Lepisosteus oculatus: one gene and its partner. The protein of the gene in region 1 interacts with the protein of each later gene in a pairwise test. Links are inferred from orthologs where the notes say so. Each region holds a gene or a part of one and is shown on either strand. Other genes may lie near its edges.

What was found.
Region 2: the proteins of arrestin domain-containing protein 3 (region 1) and nedd4l interact in binary tests that used the Homo sapiens proteins (3 or more experiments, as listed by UniProt). The link is inferred for Lepisosteus oculatus from reciprocal best matches to the Homo sapiens genes ARRDC3 and NEDD4L.

What each region holds. Positions count from the first base shown.
Region 1 is NC_090698.1:72,935,238-72,945,495, forward strand, and holds the start of arrestin domain-containing protein 3, read right to left. Parts: upstream 4,249-10,258; 5' UTR 3,946-4,248; coding exon 3,666-3,945; intron 377-3,665; coding exon 295-376; intron 1-294. UniProt on the Homo sapiens protein: Adapter protein that plays a role in regulating cell-surface expression of adrenergic receptors and probably also other G protein-coupled receptors.
Region 2 is NC_090698.1:20,485,163-20,495,561, reverse strand, and holds the start of nedd4l (E3 ubiquitin-protein ligase NEDD4-like), read left to right. Parts: upstream 1-6,261; 5' UTR 6,262-6,789; coding exon 6,790-7,884; intron 7,885-10,399. UniProt on the Homo sapiens protein: E3 ubiquitin-protein ligase that mediates the polyubiquitination of lysine and cysteine residues on target proteins and is thereby implicated in the regulation of various signaling pathways including autophagy, innate immunity or DNA repair.

The DNA of each region.
Region 1 (10,258 bases):
TGAAGGGAGTGTCCAAAACTGACAGGCCGGAGGAACTGAGTCTCTTTAGTCTGAAGGATTCTTTCAGGAAACAGATGGATGAGACCCCTGGACTGATTAAACAGTTAACCACATTGCTCTCATAGGCCACATGACCTCCTCTCATCTGAAACGGTTTTATATTCTTACTGGGAAGTTTCAGAGTTGCATTAGGTGGCTAACTTTGTTTTTATTTTATTCCAGAAGACAAAGACTGACAGCTTCAAAATCTATGAAGTCTGGGAGAGCAAATAAACATCTTTCAAGTAGACTCACGTTTGTGGAAGCTCAAGGCTGAATGCATACTCGTGTCTTCCTGAATGGATAGTGGTGAGACTTTCTTCAGAGTTGTCCTCATCTGAAACAAAGGAAAACAAAATTCCAAATACACGTATACCATACCTGTGAAACAGATATGAGGGTCGCTGTATGGAAATTAAAAAAAAATAAAAAACAGTTCAAAACACATTTCTAGGTAAGGAAAAATACCAGAATTGAAACATTTTAAAACATCACTGCAAAAAAACAGAAACAAAAGACGGATAAAAATTACACAGGTCACAATTAATTCTGGAAACCGGATATGTTAAACATTTATAAATGTAGATAAAAAAAACAGGAAGTCAAGTCTCATAAAAAAGGTTCGATGTGTATTTGCATTGAAACCAGTTTCCTAGAACAAAGGTAATGAATCTCTATTAGTCTCCAATAAACACCCTCATAGGCAGAGCAGCTCCACTCCCGCGCCCATGAGCATGAAGAAAAGGCGATAGGGGGCTAGTCATGGCAAACAAATTCCCCCTTATTCTCCTCCTGAAAAACATCAGCATTCCCTCTCCCCGTCAGTGCTCACACACCACTTTCAAACGACCCCCCAACACACACTCCTGAGGCGCTACAAAGGACCCATCGCAGTGCTCTCCCCACCAGAGCGCCCGCTCATTCGGACACGGCCTGGGAAAGAGGTGGGGGGGTTGTGGCATTTGTAACAAACTCCCTTCCTTGAAGGAGACCCACTGCCCTTCTTCCATTTCAGAGGATTGCGCGAAAACAAGAGACAGACTAGTTTTTGCTTTCGTCTCATTTTTGCGTTTGGCACAGTTTGACAACTCCCAACAATTGCTTTATCGGGTTTTTTTTTTAAATTGCGTTTTAAAACGCACGCATGCACAGCTTGTGAGAGACACACACACACACACCGGGCGCCTCTCCCCCAAAGTTACAATTCTGCCAGCTCAGCGCCAGCGCTCTGCCCCTGCCTCAGCAGCAGCAGCTCGGTCCTGGTAAACAAGTGCTGAGCTGTCAATCACAGACAGACTCGAGCAGGAGAGGACCGGCCTAAACCGGCGCGAGCAGCTCCCCCGCACGCACGCACTGCAGAAACCGAAGCTGCTCGCTCCCTCGCGGCGCCCCCTGCCGAGCCGCCCCGCGCACTGCAGCCGCCCCAGCGCCCGGCCGGCCTCCGTAACAGACCCCTCCAGGTGAGAAAATCAAGAGACCTCCCCCCCCCCACACACACACCACACCACAGAGAAAATGCACAATAGCAAATAAAGACGCAGGAGGCGGAACAAGTTAGAATTCATCTCGCTTTTATTTTGTTAGCGGCGGGTTTGTTTGTTTTTTTTACACAAGGGGGGGGGAGACAGCTTTTTTCTTCCCCTAAAGCAGCAGAAAGGTATAAATATACAAAAAAACAACCAACCAAGGTTCACATTGAGATCATACAGATGAGATACATGCCAGGAAGGGGCACCACTGCGGTGCTGCTCCCACAACATAAGCGTTTCGCGTCTTACATCAGTGTACAAAACACACAATAAGTACAGTCACATCCCAAAAGAAAGAGCTGGAACAGGCTTGTCCGGTGCCTGTCCTCCGGACTGAAGCGCATTACAGTTTAGAAAAGGGTGAGAAAAGCGACCAGACCCGGCTGTAGAAGAGTCTGGTCGGAACAAGCATGGAAATCACGTGTCAGTCCGCCGCGCAGCTGATAACTTCTAGTCCAATCAGGCTCCAGCACTGCCTTGGCAACAGGACTAACAAACCCGGCTCGGCCAATGGGCGCCCGGCGGGGGCGGGGCCAGCCCAGCCGGCCCGAGCGCACCAACCCCAAGTGTCCAAACCTGCCGAAAACTTTCTGAGCTTTCTGCGCACCGCGACGGCGGTGTAAACACAGCAAAATAAATAAAATAAACATACAAAAATCAAAGTGTGTACGCGCGGCGGTTCGCCAACCGCTACAGCTGCCCTTCCAGAGGAAATAGCCAAAGTGTCGTGTGTTTAATTTGTGTGTTTTAGAAATGGAGACGGCGCTTAAGGGAGTTTAGTTTTTGTCGCCCATGCCGCTGCGGATTAAAACGACACAGACCACCGGACCGCCAGGAGCCTGGCTCCAACTCCGGGGGTCTGCGTGCTCGCAAGTTCCCAGAAACTGCGATTCAACGACTGGCACTGCCTGCGCCCCTTAAACTGCCGATGGGGAAATCTCCGTCCCCCGGCCCCCCTTCCGCCTCCGGCATACAAGAGAGCGCAAACCGGGGGTCGACTCCTGGGGCAGCCGTGGAGGAACCGGGGGTTGGGGAATGGGAGCTGAACCCAGACGTGCGCCAGGAAAAGACAGGTGGGGATGCGCTCGCTCAGCCCTGCAAAGGCATGAGGTCATCGCCGCACACGTGACCGCGCCCAGCCAATCGGGGGGCGAGAACGGCAGAGCCCGCTGCCCCCCCCCTCCTCCCCAGCAACCAGTTTCTGAACAGGATTGAACCGCTTTTAACAAAGGGTGGAAACTTAAGGAAATCATCTTTTTTGGGGGAAAAAAAGCCAAATGTAACAAAGATTTAAAACCCAAAGAGCCCGGGCATAACCCCGGGTTCCCGCATACGTCCAAGGACGCGGCGCCGTGAGCCGTTTCTAATTTCTTTTTACCAAATTTCACGTTTACCGCATTGACTCCTGCTGTCCCGAGAGTCGACACGAGTTCTGGTCTAAAATGAACTACTTTTAAAAAAAAAAAATCTATATATACACACACAGTACATTAAAAAAAAACAACGACAAGTAAGCAGTTAATTGTCTTTCGTGGTGTGTGAAGTACTCGCAACCTCTCACTGTCCGAAAGATGAACGGGCATCTTCTTCCAACTACACATCCCAGCCTGAAATTCCTTCAGATATTTCCTGTCAGTATTAACAGCGACTGCATTTTAAAAACCGGACCCCGACTGGCAAAACTACCTAGTGTATTCAGAGCTCCGTGGAGGCGATTCGGTTTCTCTTTTCACTCACACTGCCTTGCCTGACCTAACCTGCAGCCCACTCGAGAAGTTCGCTAACCCACTCGAGAGGTCCAGGACCTCCAACGCTCACTTGAGGGAGAGGGGAGACGCTCATTTTACACACAATATTCGACGAAGGAGGACGTGCAAATCGATCTTGCACTCCTGGGGCCGGAATGAATGAACTACTGGGATATGGGGGGCATTCAGCCGAGCGTCTCTCTCTAGCCAAGGGCAGAATTTCGGTGCAACTACCATGACAGCCCCGGGATCACGGTCTTCAGAGGACAGGGCAGCTCACGGAAACGTGACATTTCCACCCCCCAGAGTCCTTAAAAAGAAAAGGCAGAAGCGGCGCGTTCCCCCTTACCTCTCTCGTGTCCGATCAGGATGTCCCTGTGGTTCAAGTACTCCACTTCCTCGGTGTAGTTCTGCGTGTACGCCGTGTTGGACCCGGCGTTCCTCGACTCGGTCCAGCGAACTTTTGCAAATCCTTTCGCGTGGATTTTCAGGGACTTGACCCGGATCTCCCCGGTGACTTCAATGACGACTCTCCCCGAGACCGAGTCCCCGCTGGAGAACACGGCCACGGCGCTGTCATTCAGGCAGTCGTAGCTGACTGTGAAACTCTTCACCTTGCCTAGCACCATGGTTTCGGGTTTTTTTTTTTGTTTTGTTTTTTTTGTTAAGAACACATAAAAAAAATAAGGTCTGAGCAGACAGCCACGACCAAATTAAAAAAAAAAGTGATCGTAGCAAAGCACGCACACACACACACAAACAAACAAACACACTGATCGACGCCTTTGCCGTGCAAGAGCTGCAGGCAGGATCAGTGCTTCCCTCGCCAGCCGTTCATTGAGATGCTGGTAGGCTAAATAACAGCACTCGATGCTGTTATCGCGCACCTCCTCCTCTCCGTGGTCTCTGTACAAAGACGAGCTGCTGCTCCGGTTCCCCTCACTTAAAAGCGAGGATTTGGTGAAAAACAACCCCACCGCGCATGCGCCGCGCTCCCCCTCCCATCCCTCCTTCCCAGCTCCTTCCGCCTCCCGCGAGCGAGGGGGCGTGGCTCCGCTGACACCTGGCCCCGCGCCAGCTGACTGGAACAGCTGATCGCGAGCCGCCCGGCCAGCCCGCGTGCGCGCCCCGCGCCGGCGGCTCGCGCCTGGCCGAGCCCTGGTTTTTAGACATGCAACACCCGGTTAAACACACAAACAAACAAACAAACAACAGCAACACCGCGATCAGCCCTTTCGCAGAGCTGCCTGTCTGTTTAGCTGTGTGGCGTGAACGCTGCGAGTTCGCAGCGGAGCGGCGATGCGTGACCTATTGCAGCATTGTTTGGATGCACAGTTTGGAGCAAACTAATGGAGTTTAAAACATCAGATCGTTTTTTTTTCTTAAGCGTATTAAATCGTCCGCTCCACATAAATACAACATCTCTGACTTTCATACTTTTTAAATCCACTGCAGCTTTCTCCCGATCAGCAGTTTCTGCCGCCGCACTGTGAGGGAAAACTACACGGCGCTGCTCGCCGGTTCGTCAGGAAGCAGCAGCAGGGAAAGCGCTATGCAGCGCCACCTTGTGGCAAATAAAAGTGCGCAAAGCACTTGTGCCTGTTGTGTACCTGTTGCACGCAAAGCTGTTATAGAAACGTTCACAGAGCTGCAGTGTTGAGCAGTTGCATCACAGATGACGGTTTTTAGTTACTGTAGTTAGTGTTTGATTGCGAAGCCTAAGTATTGTAATGCCATTTTGTTGTTAAAATCAATTTGGTACATTTCGAAGCAGTGGATACTAGCCTGTCTCAGGTCTAACAATATTTCGGAACAGATACTGGTTCGGTTCTTGCTGAAAGGGAAAGCAAAACGAAGGAACACGGCTAAAACGTTGTGCTTCTTTTCTTTAGCTTTCAGCAGGGAACAGACCTTTACCTGTGTCCCTTTGCAGCCTACGCATGGTGACGCAGCCACGTTCTCAAAAGAATAGTTGTTTTTCCCCTTTTATGCTCCACAGACAGGATCCACGTCCCCCAGCAGTGAAGTGCAGCGCCACCTAGTGTTGGATGCAAGCGGAGAAAGGACATCGCCAGGTGAATTAATGAGAATTTCAAGGAGGGCACATAGTACAAACCCGGAGTCGGAATTTAGCTCTGCTCCTACAGACAAGGACAAGTTCACGGACAAGGGGTCTTTAGCGAGCAAATAGGACCTTCGTCTAACGCCTCCTGTGAAGGAGAACACCTACACGTGGCACACTGTCCTGGGGATTTTACTCGTTTGCAGAGCTGGATTAAGAAAGAACCTTGTAGATGCTGGGCACTTCTCTTTCACAGTCCCTGGATTAGGTGGAGGAGTATTTATAGGAGTTCTGATGTCTCAGATTAGATACGTGATCAAAATTATGTTGAATGATTTGTTTCAGATGGCCCATCGTCGCTGTGTATGGGATATATTCAAAAATATCTATGTTACAGTTTATATTATAGAAATATCTTAAAATGTGGACATCGATTTTATCCTAGGCTCGTTATCGTTATATTTCATATCGTGATCGTTAAATTATCATAGGCCCTATGCACAGTGCATGCTAGGTAATATGGCGCTGCTAGTTGGTCCATTAGCTCTGCGATGCATATCTGAGTCTTGTTATAACAATTTATTTCAAAATGCTTGTACTTGTTCTAGTAGGTCTTCTATGGAATTCTTCGGGATACGGCTTTGTTGAATGGGTTCTGTTAAATCACACCGGTAAACCAGCAGAAGGAAACTCAGTGTGGGTCAGTGTAGTTTGCTACGGTGAGAGTACGACATCTAGTGTTCATCTGGGGTCATAATTCCATTCCGAGTAAATACTTCAAAAGAGTACTCATTCTTAGCGATAAAGTATCGCGTTGAATACCTTATGTTTCAAACATATAATCTCAAAGTTTGGCTTTATCTTTATTGAATCTCATACATTATGGAGAAAATTTTATGGGTTTAATTTGATATATTTGCAGAGCTGTAGATCAGGTTACAGGCAGCAAAAACACAGATGATCAGAAGGGGGTTTTCTGGTGAATTACTCCGGTGAATTATAATAAAGGATAACATTGTGCGCACAGAAACACAGAATATCAAAACCAGAGGAAACCAAGGAAGATAGGAAAGAAACAGTGAGAAAAAAACATCTCCCTTCTCTTCCTTGAAGCCTGTCTCATGTGAGAGGACCTTGTCCTGGCCAGCCTTGGAGACCGAGTCCTGTAATGTGAACCTTGTTTTAATGAGACTGCTGTCCCATTTATTTAAAATGATTCTAGCTGTCCTGTAGCCTGTAGCAGGCAGCTATATCACCCTGCTACTCACAACTGGCCGCCCATGTGCGTCAAATTATACCTGCTGCTCGAGTTTATTCATTTTCATCATTTTAATTTCCACTTTGTGAGAAAGTCCAGAAACCCCTGCTATGGAGGTGCAGTCCTTGGTGTGATAAAGTACAGACCTTTATCACACCAAGGATTCTATTGAGGCTTTTATAAGAGTTCCTGCGCGTTTAATATTGAAGCATCATTACTGCTGAGCCATCATTAATTGTTTTAGTGCAGACGAAGGTCCCTCTCTCTCATGAGATAGGATTGAGTTAGAAATGCATTCGGCTCATTCCAGCTCACCCCAGACAATAATAAAGTATAAACATTCTGCACACAGATACACAGTGTAAGAAAACAGGTGGGAACTGAAGGAAAACAAAATCCCATCTCCTCTTCCTTAACACCTCCAGCTTGCCCTGGTCCTGTAATTGAATGGTTTGTCCATCCCCAGTTGGCCAAGTGTGCAAGACATTGTCCAGGGGCATCTGTGGGTTTGACTTTGTTCGGACTGTCTCTCTCGCTGCAGCCATGTCGTGTCATATTTTTCTTCAATGTTGTACTTCTGGAACAAGTCTGAGAAACTAAGAAAAGTGTAATTTTCCAAAAATGAAAATAAAGATGTCTTGAATGGCAGGGCTGTGTGCTAGTGGGGTTCACCTCGGGATCACTGGGGGTTCCCCCTTTAGCATCTAACTGTGAGGACACCCCAAAGGCTCTGACACGCAGTGTCTTCGTGCCTCTTTTAACAGCAACGTGATTAAAACAACAGCAACTGAAAACCTGTTAGATTACTTGTTGACTAGAAACGCAATTTATATTTGTGGTCCTTTATATACGTTTGCCTTTCACCAGGGTTCAGAATGCAGTGCACGAAGATGAGTCAAAGTGTATGCTTTCATTATTCAAATAGAAACTGGGTAAAACAAACTACTACAGTAATAATACTAATTATAATAATTGCTTACACTTATATAGCGCTTTTCTGGACACTCCACTCAAAGCGCTTTACAGGTAATGGGGATCCCCTCCACCACCACCAGTGTGCAGCCCCACCTGGATGATGTGACGGCAGCCATAGTGCGCCAGAAGGCTCACCACACATCAGATATCAGTGGGGAGGAGAGCAGAGTAATGTAACCAATTCATAGAGGGGGATTATTAGGAGGCCATGATTGGTAAGGGCCAATGGGAAATTTTGCCAGGACACCGGGGTTACACCCCTACTCTTTTCGAGAAACACCCTGGGATTTTAAAGACCACAGAGAGTCAGGACCTCAGTTTTACATCTCATCCGAAGGACGGCACCTGTTTACAGTATAGTGTCCCCATCACTATACTGGGGCATTAGGACCCACATGGACCACAGGGTGAGGGCCCCCTGCTGCCCCCACTAACACCTCTTCCAGGGCAACAGTAACGTGTAAGTAAGAGAATACGGCCTTTCCACTCAGACTGGATGCCACCCTGGTCTCTCTTGTGGAGCAGCAAAGTGTCTGAGGGAGGGCCAGACCTCTCAGCCCTGTGTCCTTTGTGTCTGCTGCCCTCCTGAGTCTTCTGTGTTCTCTGTTCCTTGGCTGATTCTCCTCGAGACGCAGGAGCTCGCTCTCTGTGGGCAACGTGCACACCTATCCCACAAGGCTGCAGCGAGAGAGGGAAGGCTTACTGTGCCCCTGGAATCCTGCAAGCTCAACACAGAGTAGGGAGGAGATCCCAAAGCAGAAATCGAGGCCAGCTAGACGAGTGTTTGGTAGCTGGTATGTTAGGGGCTGTGGGCAGGGCTCTGTGGAAGACAGACATCCTCTGTGTGAATGTAAATCCCTTTGGGGAAAAATACAATGTCAGCTGAACAACAACAATAAGAAGTATGTAAGACAGTGGTAAAGGAACAGGTCTAGAAGGATGCTGAATAATTGCTAAATAGAAGTATAAGAAGATAATGGCTTTATATAAAATTATTTATGAAAATTATTATAGTAACAGATCTCTAATGGCCAGTGATCATTACATAACTGTGAATTGTTTGCTATAAAGAAGACATAATACTTTCTTTTAGTATACTTTTAATGGTTCTGGCATACTTTCTCGAGGTGTACCGCTGGTAAATAATAACTATAATGTCCCTATCAGTATACTGGGGCATTAAGACCCACACAGACCACAGGGTGAGCACCCCCTGCTGGCCCCACTAACACCTCTTCCAGCAGCAGCCTTAGTTTTTCCCAGGAGTCTCTCATCCAGGTACTGACCAGGCTCACACCTGCTGAGCTCCAGTGGGCTTCCAGCTGGGAGTGACAGGGTGACATAGCTGCTGGCATTTAGGTGCTGATTAAATATTTCACATAAATCATCAAAAGATTGTCAGTGAACGTTTTAATGATAAGCAAGTATCACCTTGAAAAAAAGCACAATTCCTGAACTCTTTGTATTTGATTTTTAAACCCCTAGTAAAGTAAATTACATATTTTACTTTATTTCTGAAGTCTGTATCTTTGATTAAATCCATTAAGCACCAGAATGCTGTATAACTACCCCAAGTTAATTAGATACCTTGGAGTGCATTAGTGTCAAAAAACCTCATTGTTACGAGTGAGTAGGAAGCTGAGAAGAAAAGGGTCAGGTAAATGATGAAGATTTACCAATCTAGTGCTCACAGGATTTCTTGTTTGCACAAAAAAGTGAGTTTGTAATGAGAGGGCATTATGTAAAAACACCTGGAAACAATACCAAATCCATAATCCGGCTACCTGCCTGCGCCATCAACAAGTTGTTTTACCTGCTGATAGACACATTAGCTTTCAAACAGCCGTCAGCGAACACTTTAACTAAGTGTACAATGTTCAAACTGGTCTTCAAAACTTTTAAACTTGTTTTCCAAGTGTCTCTATGTTGAATTCTATGCTCGTCTAAAACGTCCACATAAATCATTTAAATTCCGTTTTCTGTGGTGTAAGAAAGAGGAAATCAGAGCCGGGATTATGAAATTGAAATTTTGGATTATGCAACGTCCTTGGTGGTGAACTTGTTACATTTGTTCATTGAGCCTCATTTTAGATTCATAAAACAACACAGAATCTAAAACAAGCCATTTGTTTATACAATTATTGGAATGCTTATATTTGTTTCTGTGCCTGTTCTTTGATTACTTATACTTGTGTTTCATGAAAACTGTTGCACAGAGAGAAAAATGCTCAGCAAACTACATAATGGGTGTGATGGAGACACCTGGTGGCCACAACAGCCTATAGCATGTGAGAACACAGGAGTTGTAGTCCGGACTGCGGAGTGTTTTCTCCTCATGCAACACAGACAGGGCAGGCTGCATACTAAACAACCCTCTGGGGGAGCGAAGAGCCTCCTCTCCTCTCCTGAATTATACGTATCATTTCCCTCTCGTTTCCAACTCGGTTCCCTGGTTTGTGTCCTTTGTCAAAGAAACACGAATCAGGCAACATTTGTAGTCTTTTCTGATTGAGATGAATGAGATTAACTTATTATTAACTTTATTGTGGGTTTATTGAACCTGTCACGATATCAGACAGGTTGTTATTTCAGTTCTGATTCCAACATATTTTTGGAAAAATGTGGCGACTAAAATTGTTTGCATAAT
Region 2 (10,399 bases), about 52 Mb from region 1:
AAGTAATTTGATCCTTTGGCCCAATTGCTTATAAAATATTTGCGTTATTTTACAGTGTTTTTTTTATTTTCTGGTTACATTACAGCAACAGAAGCAGACTTTTTCCTGAAGGGACAAAAACGTAAAATCTGGTGAAAATGTTTTTTTTTTAGTGCTTTGTCTACCATGAAACTTAGTATCACATGCAAACATCAAAATGCTGTCAAACATATTTTGGTTGGATAGCAGTGGCTTCCTCTGGCAGAAGCTGACTACAACCAGAGATATCTCCAACAGGGCCTGGAGATGAATCTGGAATCAGCAGCCCAAGAGGAGTCACTAATGCCCTCCCAATATCAGCAGCTAATGTATGCAATACAGTACATGGAAAGAATCAGGCCTGCCTGAAAGGCTTCATGATATAGGGGCTCTTCAAAAGCAGATTCCGCACCTAGAAGAAGTAGTGCTCTAAAACCTCTTTTGATCGGGGCATGTTTCACTTTGACCATTTCTGTTGTGTAAAGAGCACTCTTGGTAATTAAACTTTGTGGGATGTTTTATAGGGCAGGGGGACCTCAAACTCACACCTGAATGTCACATCATTGATTGGAACTCCTGACTCCAATTACCCCCTTTTACACAAGTCATTATCCTAGAGGTTCACATTTATTTTTAGAGGTACACATACTTTTTTCCAGCATAGACAGCATGTTCAATATAGTCAAGGAAAAGTAAAGTTGTTTGTGTTATTTGTTTAATCAGGTAGGCATTATCTATTCATATGACTTATATGACTTACAGTAGCTCACATTGTATAAACACCTAATGGAGGAATACAAATGATTCCAAAGGGTTCACCCTCTGTTTGTTGATAGTAGGACCTCTGATAGTAGCAGAGAGAATGTGTTGGTTGACACTGCTTTCTTGTTAATTCTTTGAATTTATTATATTTGTACTGAATATTGTTTTTTATGGATCCATGGTCGACTTTGATATCACTAACGCAATTGCATAGGTTGGTTGCTTACATCACTAAGAGTGTGTTACAGATTTGGTCAGTGAAGTTCTTGTATTAGTGTAAAGTATGTCCTTGATACTTCTTCCCATTAAATATCTCTTTGAACTTTTAGTAGAGAGGTTTTCTTCTGGTGTCCATGTTAAGTTCTACTTTTCTCTTGCTTAGTTTGGCTTAATTATAATTTGCTCCTTTAATCAGCATTAATTTATTCCATCTCTGCGGGATCAGTTCTGTAGTGGGGCAGACGCTGCAGAGTTGGACTTCCATCACTCAGGTGCATGCTGCACGTCAGTGTTAGATAATGTTGGTCATACCCAGGTATATGTGATCCTCAGAAACTCTTCCAAATACCAGGAATAATATCCCTCACCCTTTGAAAGAGTGTGCCAGACAGGAATATATTTTCCACTAAATCGTCATCTTACACATTACATTAAAAAGACCTTTGGTGAGAAGAAATCAAGGTCATTATGAGATAATGAATGAAATTTAAAAAATGTGTGGAGACCATAAAACTGCAATAATGTATTTATTCTCTCTAATGCTACAGGTTAGCCCGCACAACCACAGGCTCCTCTTCGAGGTGTTTGATGAAAACAGGCTGGTAAGTTTTGTTTTGCATATAAAAGTTTGTGTAGAACTGCATGAAGATCACGGGCAGTATTTTCACCTACTGTACAATTCTACAGTGATGACAGCAATAAATGTTTTATTTACTGCAGTATATGTATTGCAGTCCACCCCATTATCACTTCCCTGAGCTCAAATGACAAGAAATATTGCTGCAATTGCCATAGAGATGGTAGAATATTTTATTGGTTCATAAATGTTTTTCTAGGGCAGATCTTGGGTGCTGGTTCAGATCCGGACCTGGTGCTATCTGCGTGAGCTTGTACAGTGTGTTCTCCCTGTGTTCGCATGGGCTTTTGCCAGGTGCTCCGGTTTCCTCCCACAGTGCAAAGACACACTTGTACTGTAGGTTAATTGGCTTCTTCTGGGAAAACTGGCCCAATTGTGATTGTGTGTGAGTCCAGGATGTACAGTATTCTGCCTTGCGCCCTTTGCATGCCAGGATAAACTCCGGCCCATCCTGCAAGCCTGTATTGGCTGAAGCGGTTAAAAGATGGATGGAAAAAGAAGAATAAAACTATTTCCTCATTGAGACAAAATGGAAGCAGGGCCTACAGTATATCAATATTGTAGGTGCCATGTTTCTGAGATATATAAGTACTTTTTTATCATAAATGTAATGTACCTGCTGGTTTAGCAAAATAATCTGGACAACTGTAAGCTTATTTAGAACTTATTTAGAAGTCATTAAAAAAAATAAAGTAACAAAAGGGGAGCTTGTCAAAAGGGGGCTAATTAAATTTTAAAGGCTGAGAAAAACAATATATTTTAATTTTGCCTGAGGTCTTTATTAGCAGTACTTTATAAATCAGTTTTTTTCTCAATTTTGTGTGATTTTATTTATATTTTATTTTATTTACATCAAATGTTTAAGCTAATTGCTTTTATTTTACACTTTCTGAAGTATCATCTTAATGTTAAACATATTAGTGATGTTACCATTAGAATCTTCATTTCATGTTAATTTTCAAATAGTGTACCAAGATGCAAGTTGGTATCACTGTAAATAATAACCTGTTATCCTATAATCATTCATATTTTCTTAATATTCTGATTGATTTTTTTTTTCAATTCGTTAATAGAGCAATTATTTCTAGTAAGTAACCTCACAATTCACCTTCTAAAATACTATTTCAGGAAAAAGCCCAATAACACCACACAAGCTTTCTTGACATTTATTATTTTTATCTTCCTTAAATGCGTTATGTGTTTTGATAATGACTAATTGATACATTAATGTTTAGGTTGGTTGTTGTAAATAGTTTCTTTTCCTCTTGATACGGAAGGGTTTGCATGGTATCCTACACACAATTACCTTGTTTTTTCCTTTGCAGAGTTCCCTTTTCATGTATTAACTTTGCAGATCTTTTCTATTTAATTTGTACTGCAATTTTGACTCATTCCTTAAAAAATGTTGTTGAAGGGACAGACTGATGTGATAACACAGAAGAGATGTGAATTTTAAACTAGCTATTAGACAAAAGCTGTTTCTAATTTTTTCTAGCTTTTTTTTCATGGTAACTTTCATTTTCACTTCATTGGAATACTGTATAGCTGCCTCGCTTATTTATGTTTTTTTATGTAAATTTCAGATTTTATAGTTTACAATGTAGTTTGATGAGTGTCATGAGAAAGGCCTTGTATGTTCGAGATTGGCTCCATTATTACACAACGGCCCTGATCTGGTGTTAATGATCTGAAAGCTAGTGAGACAGTTGCCTTCTATTCTCCTGGTGCCAGGATGGAGTTAAAGCTGTTTAGAAGTAGTGTTTAGTTTCTTTCGCCATCCAACCTGTGTCAAGTTTGATTTAACGCCTTCCATTTTGGAAACCTAAAAAAACAGAGGAAAGTTCTGTTAATTAAAAGATAATATAAGCATTTCAACCTCTTTTTAATTACCCAACATATTATTCCTTAAGTCTTGCAAAGCTTGTCAGGATAAATATGTGTACGTGATAACCTATTCTAGCACACTCTAAAAATAAAGCTTACAAAAGCCTCTGCTAGTGTAATTCCTTATCCTAAGACATGCGAGGTTTCAGGTAGTCTTCAAACACTAGGACTGTTTAATAAACAGGAAAGTATATTTGAAATAGGTATTTCACCCAAATTGACCATTAGAAAAAACATTCTCGTCTCTTTGTTGTTGTATCCTCAAGTTACAGGATGAAAGACTGTATGGTTGCCAAAACACTGGCTATTCTCTACAGAAATATGTGGAAACTGATTTTAATGCCTATGTGATTTTAAATCAAAGATGTTGTACAGTGAAAAAAGTAGTTTTATAAAGGATGTCTGTATAGATTTATGCATTTCACGTTCTTTATTGATAGAAGTTGGTTGTGCAGATTGATAATTGATTGTGACTCGATCGTCAACACACTGGGATATGCTGAAGTCGGGCAAGAGAAACATTTAGGATCAGGAATCTTGGAGTGCCTTGATTTTACACCACAGCATATATTCTTATAAAACTTACCTTTTATAAATACAAGTTAATCACTTCATGCTTGTATTATATTGTTTTATGATATACCATTGTGGGATTTGGGGATTGATTAGTTGTCCTCAATTAAAATGGCCCAAAAATTATTAATCAGTTACTTGTTAACTTAAACAGCTACAGTATGTCATGTGATAAATCCCAAAAAGTTTATTTTAATTATAATATTAAAGATTCATAAGGTTGTTGGACTTCAATTATATTATTAAATATATTGCATTTGTAGAAATGGACAGAACATAAGAAAATAAGAACGTTTATACATAAGAGGCCATTCCCTAAGCTCATTCGCTCTGTTACTAGATAAATGATCCAAAGATCTCATCCTCTTGAAAGAAGCCAAGGTATTAACTTCAGTAACATAAAGTATCTGGGTAGCATGTTCCTGATTTGGTCCACAAACCTTTTTCTACAAAAAATGCCTCCTGTTCCCTGTAGTTTTGATCTGTTTCTACAGGTTCATGTTTCCATTTCAATTCTGTAAACCTCCATTGGGTTGAATTTGTCTTTTCCTTTGAGAATTTTGAACAGTTGAATCCTTTCCATTTGTTGTCTTCTTTGTCCAGATTCCTTATATATTAAGAAGACAACGGAAAATGGGATAATTGTTTAATGACAACTAATTACTTTGCTTTGCACACAAAATTGACGCCTAATGTCTCAGTGACTACTGTAAGTTACAGGCACACAGACAATGAGAGGAAAAATGATTAGAATACTCCAGCACACTGTTAAACCAAATACTGGGTTAACATTTTTTTAGTTCTGGTGCTACACCCTCTTTTTTAACAACTTTGAAAATGAGGCTTCTTGCTTATTTGTAAAAAAAGGAAAAGAGTAATAAACAAATTTGTACTGTAAGTAAAATCACATTAAAATGAAGACAAAAAGATTTTATTTCTGCAGGCTGCAAGCACCTGTATCCCTGAACTTTGTGCAGGTGCATGTTCATATGCTCTAAACTGCACTGACATGAACACAAAACAACATATTCAGTTGCACTGCTTACACAATGTTCCTTTTTATTCCATAAACTAACTGCTGACTTGCTAGCAACAACCTTTCGCGTTCTCTAAACAATCCATTCTGAGAGCTCCCATTAGAATGAATAACTGCATTCTTTCATTATGAGTTCTTCACGACACACCATAAGACGTTAGGCTGTCATCAACTCACTGTATTGTATTTTGCAAAGAAAGTCTTATACGCTAGGGTAACAGGCTATCTCAGCTGCTAATATACTGGCACTAAAAAAAAAGCTATCCTAATGATTGTCAGCTTTAAAAGACCAGATTGGAATCCTTTTAATTTCTAATGCAGCATTAATGATTTCTTGAAAAGTAATCACTCCTACAGTATAAGCCTATGCATTATAAAATTCTGGAAAGTAATTAATGTTTATGAGTTTGTGACCCATTTATTTTTATAATCCAAATTGGCACTCACCCTCTGTATTTTTTGATTGTTGACTGTACAAGTCCATACATCTACTCCCTGTTACTAGAATGTGAAACTTAATAATATAACTTTTTTAGAAACAAAATATAGTTGTAATACTATATTGTTGTTACAATGAATTCTGGCAAATATGTTACCAGATTGTGATCTGGTCATCTCAGATTTCACATTTCCTTTTTCAGAAAAAAAGTCTGTGTAAATTAGAAATGTTTTTGAAAACTCATTTTGTTTCTTTTTGTTTTATTTCATATAAAAGAATTGACTGAGATGTATTCATTTCAGTCTCGTACAATATGCCACATTTATTTCTGCCTGTAGATTAAAGCAACATATTGTAAAGTGCTGTACATATATGGCTGGTTAAAAGAAAATATCTTTCCTCAACTGTACATTTTGATGGTAAAAGGGAATATGTTTGTATTTTAAAGGCACTTTATTATTAGTTGTATTTTATTTATGTTTCACATCTGGGTTTATACTATATTTTAGTTTTGAATAGTTTTTAAGCTAATGATAATTGTACTGATGTCAAAAAGTGAACTTAAATTGAATTCCAAGATTGTGATATAAATGTTTTTTTTTTCTCTTAAACATTGAAGAAATGGTTACAGTTAGTACAATTTTACAATACTAGAACTCTACTGGTGTTTAAATCCCAGATACCACAGAAAAGCATGGTCCAGAACCCATCCAACGTCCCCTGCTTGTAGGATGTGGTTTTAAGATTTATAGCTGTGTTGAATTTGTGTTGCCTTACTCAGCTGTGAGCGCTCTCTCTCCCACTGGGGCCCTCTCCTTTCTGATGGATAAGGAGCAGCTGAGAAGGTGCTGTTTCAGTCTGGGACTGTTTAAAACCAGAGATGTACTGGCAAGTATTGGTGAGGGGAACTGCATCACGTGACCACAGCCATCCTACCCCATGTCACAGTGTGTAGGAGCGCCGAGTGCCCTTATCCAATCATGCCTGGAATGCTGCTTGTCACTTGGGCTATTTCTGCTATCTGTCGCTATCAGCCTGCAGTGCTAACAGTTTGGCAGATGGGACACTTTTTTTTTTTCCTCTGGAGTTTGCAGCTTTGAGTTTTTAACTCCCTGGCAGTGCCTCTCTTGTTATTGTGGCGTGAACTCCTTCTGCTTTGCTCCCTTCACTGAGGGAAGAGAGAGAGAAACTGAATCAGACAAAGGGAGAGAGAGGCTCAACATGGCCCACCGACTGAGGCTTTACTTTGGCTCCGGGCGTAGCAACACAGCCCCTGAGATGGAGGAGCTGGAGGGGGCAACAGAAGACGACATTGCCATGACATTCCACACACTGCCTCGCAGGAGAGGCTTACCTCTTTTCTCCGATCCTGAAAGCTCCTTGTCCGGAGAAACCTTCCTGAAACGTAGCTCCTCTATGTTCATCCCTCAGCTTTCAAACCCGATAGATCCTCGGCCCACAAAAAGCTCATCAATGCAGATCTCCTTGCAGCGCATCCCTGGAAATGGAGAAGAAGAAGAGTCTCCTACTCCTAGTCCCGAGTCTTTCCTGGGCCCAGCTCCAGCCTACAGGGAGCCCAACAGGAAATATTCCTTGCCTACAGACATGCCCAGAAACAATGAAGCTTCACCATGGACTCCAGCATTTGGGAACCTGTCTGGTGATCCCAGTTCACGCAATCGTAGGGTGTTTTGTATGTTGCCTGAAGAATGCCAAAATGGCCACAGCAGTCCAGGAGTGATGAATGAAGATCTACCCAGTGGAATTAATTTTGGTGGTTTCTGCATTCAGAGGAATTCTACTGGGGGCTCAGAGTTTCAAATGCTGCCTTGTGGAGCCCAGGGGCAGAATGGTCCCCACCGCCGCTGGTCTGTCCACCAGGATTCTAATGGCACCCTGGGCAAGCAACGTTTCATAGTTCAGCTCCAGCCAAATCAAGCTGGCATCCCCAAGGGCTCGCGGACAGAGGGGGCAGATCTGGGGTTCACGGGCACCAAGGGAGAGCGGGTGGTGAGGTATCCCCGAATAAGACTGGAGAGGAGCACCTCGCAACCGGTGCAGCCCAGAGCTGTCACCCCACTACTTCAGAGTAGTGCTGGAGATGGGCAGGACACTCCAGGAAGAAACCAGGACCCTGAGGGCCAGAGTAGGAATGTGGATGATGCTTTGCAAGGTTGCACCTTTAAAATCAGACAGGAACAAAACAACAGGCAGCCCCAGTTTAAGATCTATTTTACCCGAGGAGGAGAAGAGCAGAATCAGAGTTCACCACAGGATATAAACTCTGGAAATAGGCAAACAAGGATTAGCTCCCAGGTAATGTGCTGTGCTGTGTGCTACTACTGTATATAATTTAGTATTGTTAATTTTACTGTTATTGGTACTGATTATATTGTTTGCATTTATACTGATAAATATAAGTTGAAACAGCTGTTCCTGCTGGCAGGAATTTCATTAGGAAAAATGGGTAGGTTTTAAGATTAACTAACAACCTTCTTCTGGAAAGTGCATCCACTGTTTATCTATACCTTGCAAATGAAAAACCGAAGGGTTAGAAGAAGCAGCTTTCAGAGCTTGGAAATGAGAGTGGATTTATTCTAGAAATTGCTTTAGGAGAGAAGCCTGTGAGTAAGGCAGACTGACCTTTATTACTCCCCCGGAGGACTTTAAACGTTTACGTACATAAATGTTTTTTCACTTAAGAAAAATGTAAAATCCATAGGTATGTACAGTATTTGAGTGTATGAGCATTCATCCATCCTTTTCAGTCTATTTTTACAAGTGAGTTTCATGGCCTGTATGAACAGAGACTTATAACAAACAATATTTATAGTTATGCATGATTTATTGGTTACTAGATAGAAATTTTTAAGCATTTAGATAAGTATATGAACAAATAAGTATTGCTTTTGCATTTCACTCTGGTTCTATTTTTTAAATTATTTTGTTGTTGTTGTTGTTGTTTTCTGAGACTGCCAGAGTTTCCTGGCTGGACTTAGTCTAATTAATTGTTACGGGTAGGGTCATTAGCGTATGAGCTGTAGGGTTACGTTACATCCGACAAGACTGTTTTTAAAAGCCATTTCTTTTAAAGGGGCCATCTTCATATTTTTACAGTATCTCTGTAATCTTTTTGTGATAAAAACTACTTTCTGAAGGAAGTTACGCTCTATTACAAATGACCACGTTTTTTAGTAAGTCATATAATAGCTCTATATGCATGTATTAAATCTATTAACAGCTAATCAGTCTTAAAAAATAAGAGTTCTGTAAAATCCTTAATCCGCATCATTCAAAGTCATTGGATCCTTAATGGAGAAAATGTTAGTGAAGTGCAAGCACTCTCTTCGCCCTAACTGTCCATAGGATTCACTGTTACAATGAAATGAAATAAAAATGTGAAAGAACCTCAGTGTTTCTGTGGTTCTCCTGCAGTATCATATCTCTAGATTAAAAAGACCATTTTTTCTGCTGCATATAACACAGTTAAAACTATTAAGTTGCTATATTGAAACACTAACCTTTTTTATTAAACAAATATTCACTGTACATTAATAACATTGCAGAATCTATCCAGCATATCATCTGTGTCATGGTGGCGCCCGTAATGGTAATTAATTTCATGATTTTTTCTTAGAGATGGACAATTATTGACAAAGCTGAAGCTTAGCATCTGTGCGCTCATATTGCTCCTACAAATACTGTAGCTGGCAAAATACCTTTTGTTAATGTGCTATTTTAATTTTGTTGTTAACATCCATTTCATTATATAATGGGCTTTGTAACATTTTGAAAAAGTGACAGAAAGAAATGAGGAATATAGATTGCTTTGTTAGCTTAAGCATTATCAGTAATTAGATCTGGAGCACTAAGAGTCCCCCCTTTCTCTCATAACTGAAACGGGACATACAGTACAGTAACTGAAACAAAGATTTCTAAAGTGGTCTGCCTCCCTTTTTCACAAGTCTATAAAAACCATGTGGAGTATGGACATTTCAGTACCTTTTAAAGGATATTACTGGCGTGAAAACAAGAACAAGTCAAGTAGACTCCAACATACAGTTTGGAAGAAGTTTTATTATAGTGAAGCTTAACACGCACAGGATATAATACTTGGTTAATAAGACATACATTATAGGTTACATAAATGTACAGTATGAGCTACTAAAGAAGCCGAAATGACATTCCATCAGTGAAGTTTGTTATACCTTTAAATGCAGCCTTTTTAATAATTCATTTAAAACTGATTTGTTGACATGCAGCTCCATGAATAGAACATACTTAAATGTAGACATTTTAATGAGACACTTTTTCCCTCTTATAAAAACTGTTGTCTGCAATAATCCTAGTTCTATTAATTAATTGCTTTTCAGTTCTCTGTAATTATTAACATGGCCTTAGTAGCATCCCTAGGAAGAATTTTTTTCATTTTATTTTCAGATTTGTTTAAATATGTGGATGTGATTTCTTGCTCAGAATTTTCTATAAATATTTAAGGTGCAGTGGCCTCCATCATCTACAATTAAAAACAAACCTTGGGGATCAACATAAGTTATAATATTCTTATGAATAATGCCATAATTTCAGTTGGACACTGGCAGCTTTTACTATCATAAACAAAGATAATAGGGATTGTATTTATTAGAATCTAAGCACAGACCTTCCTGAATTATTCATAGCTGTATTTATGCAGGGTTCTTTACCACTGGAATTTCTTAGGGGTCACTACTGACAATTACTGCATTTGGATGCAGGACAGTTTTTTCCCCAAGCTTCATCCATGAGATGTGTGACTGACAGAGATGGGGTAAAAGAATAAATGAGCATGCTT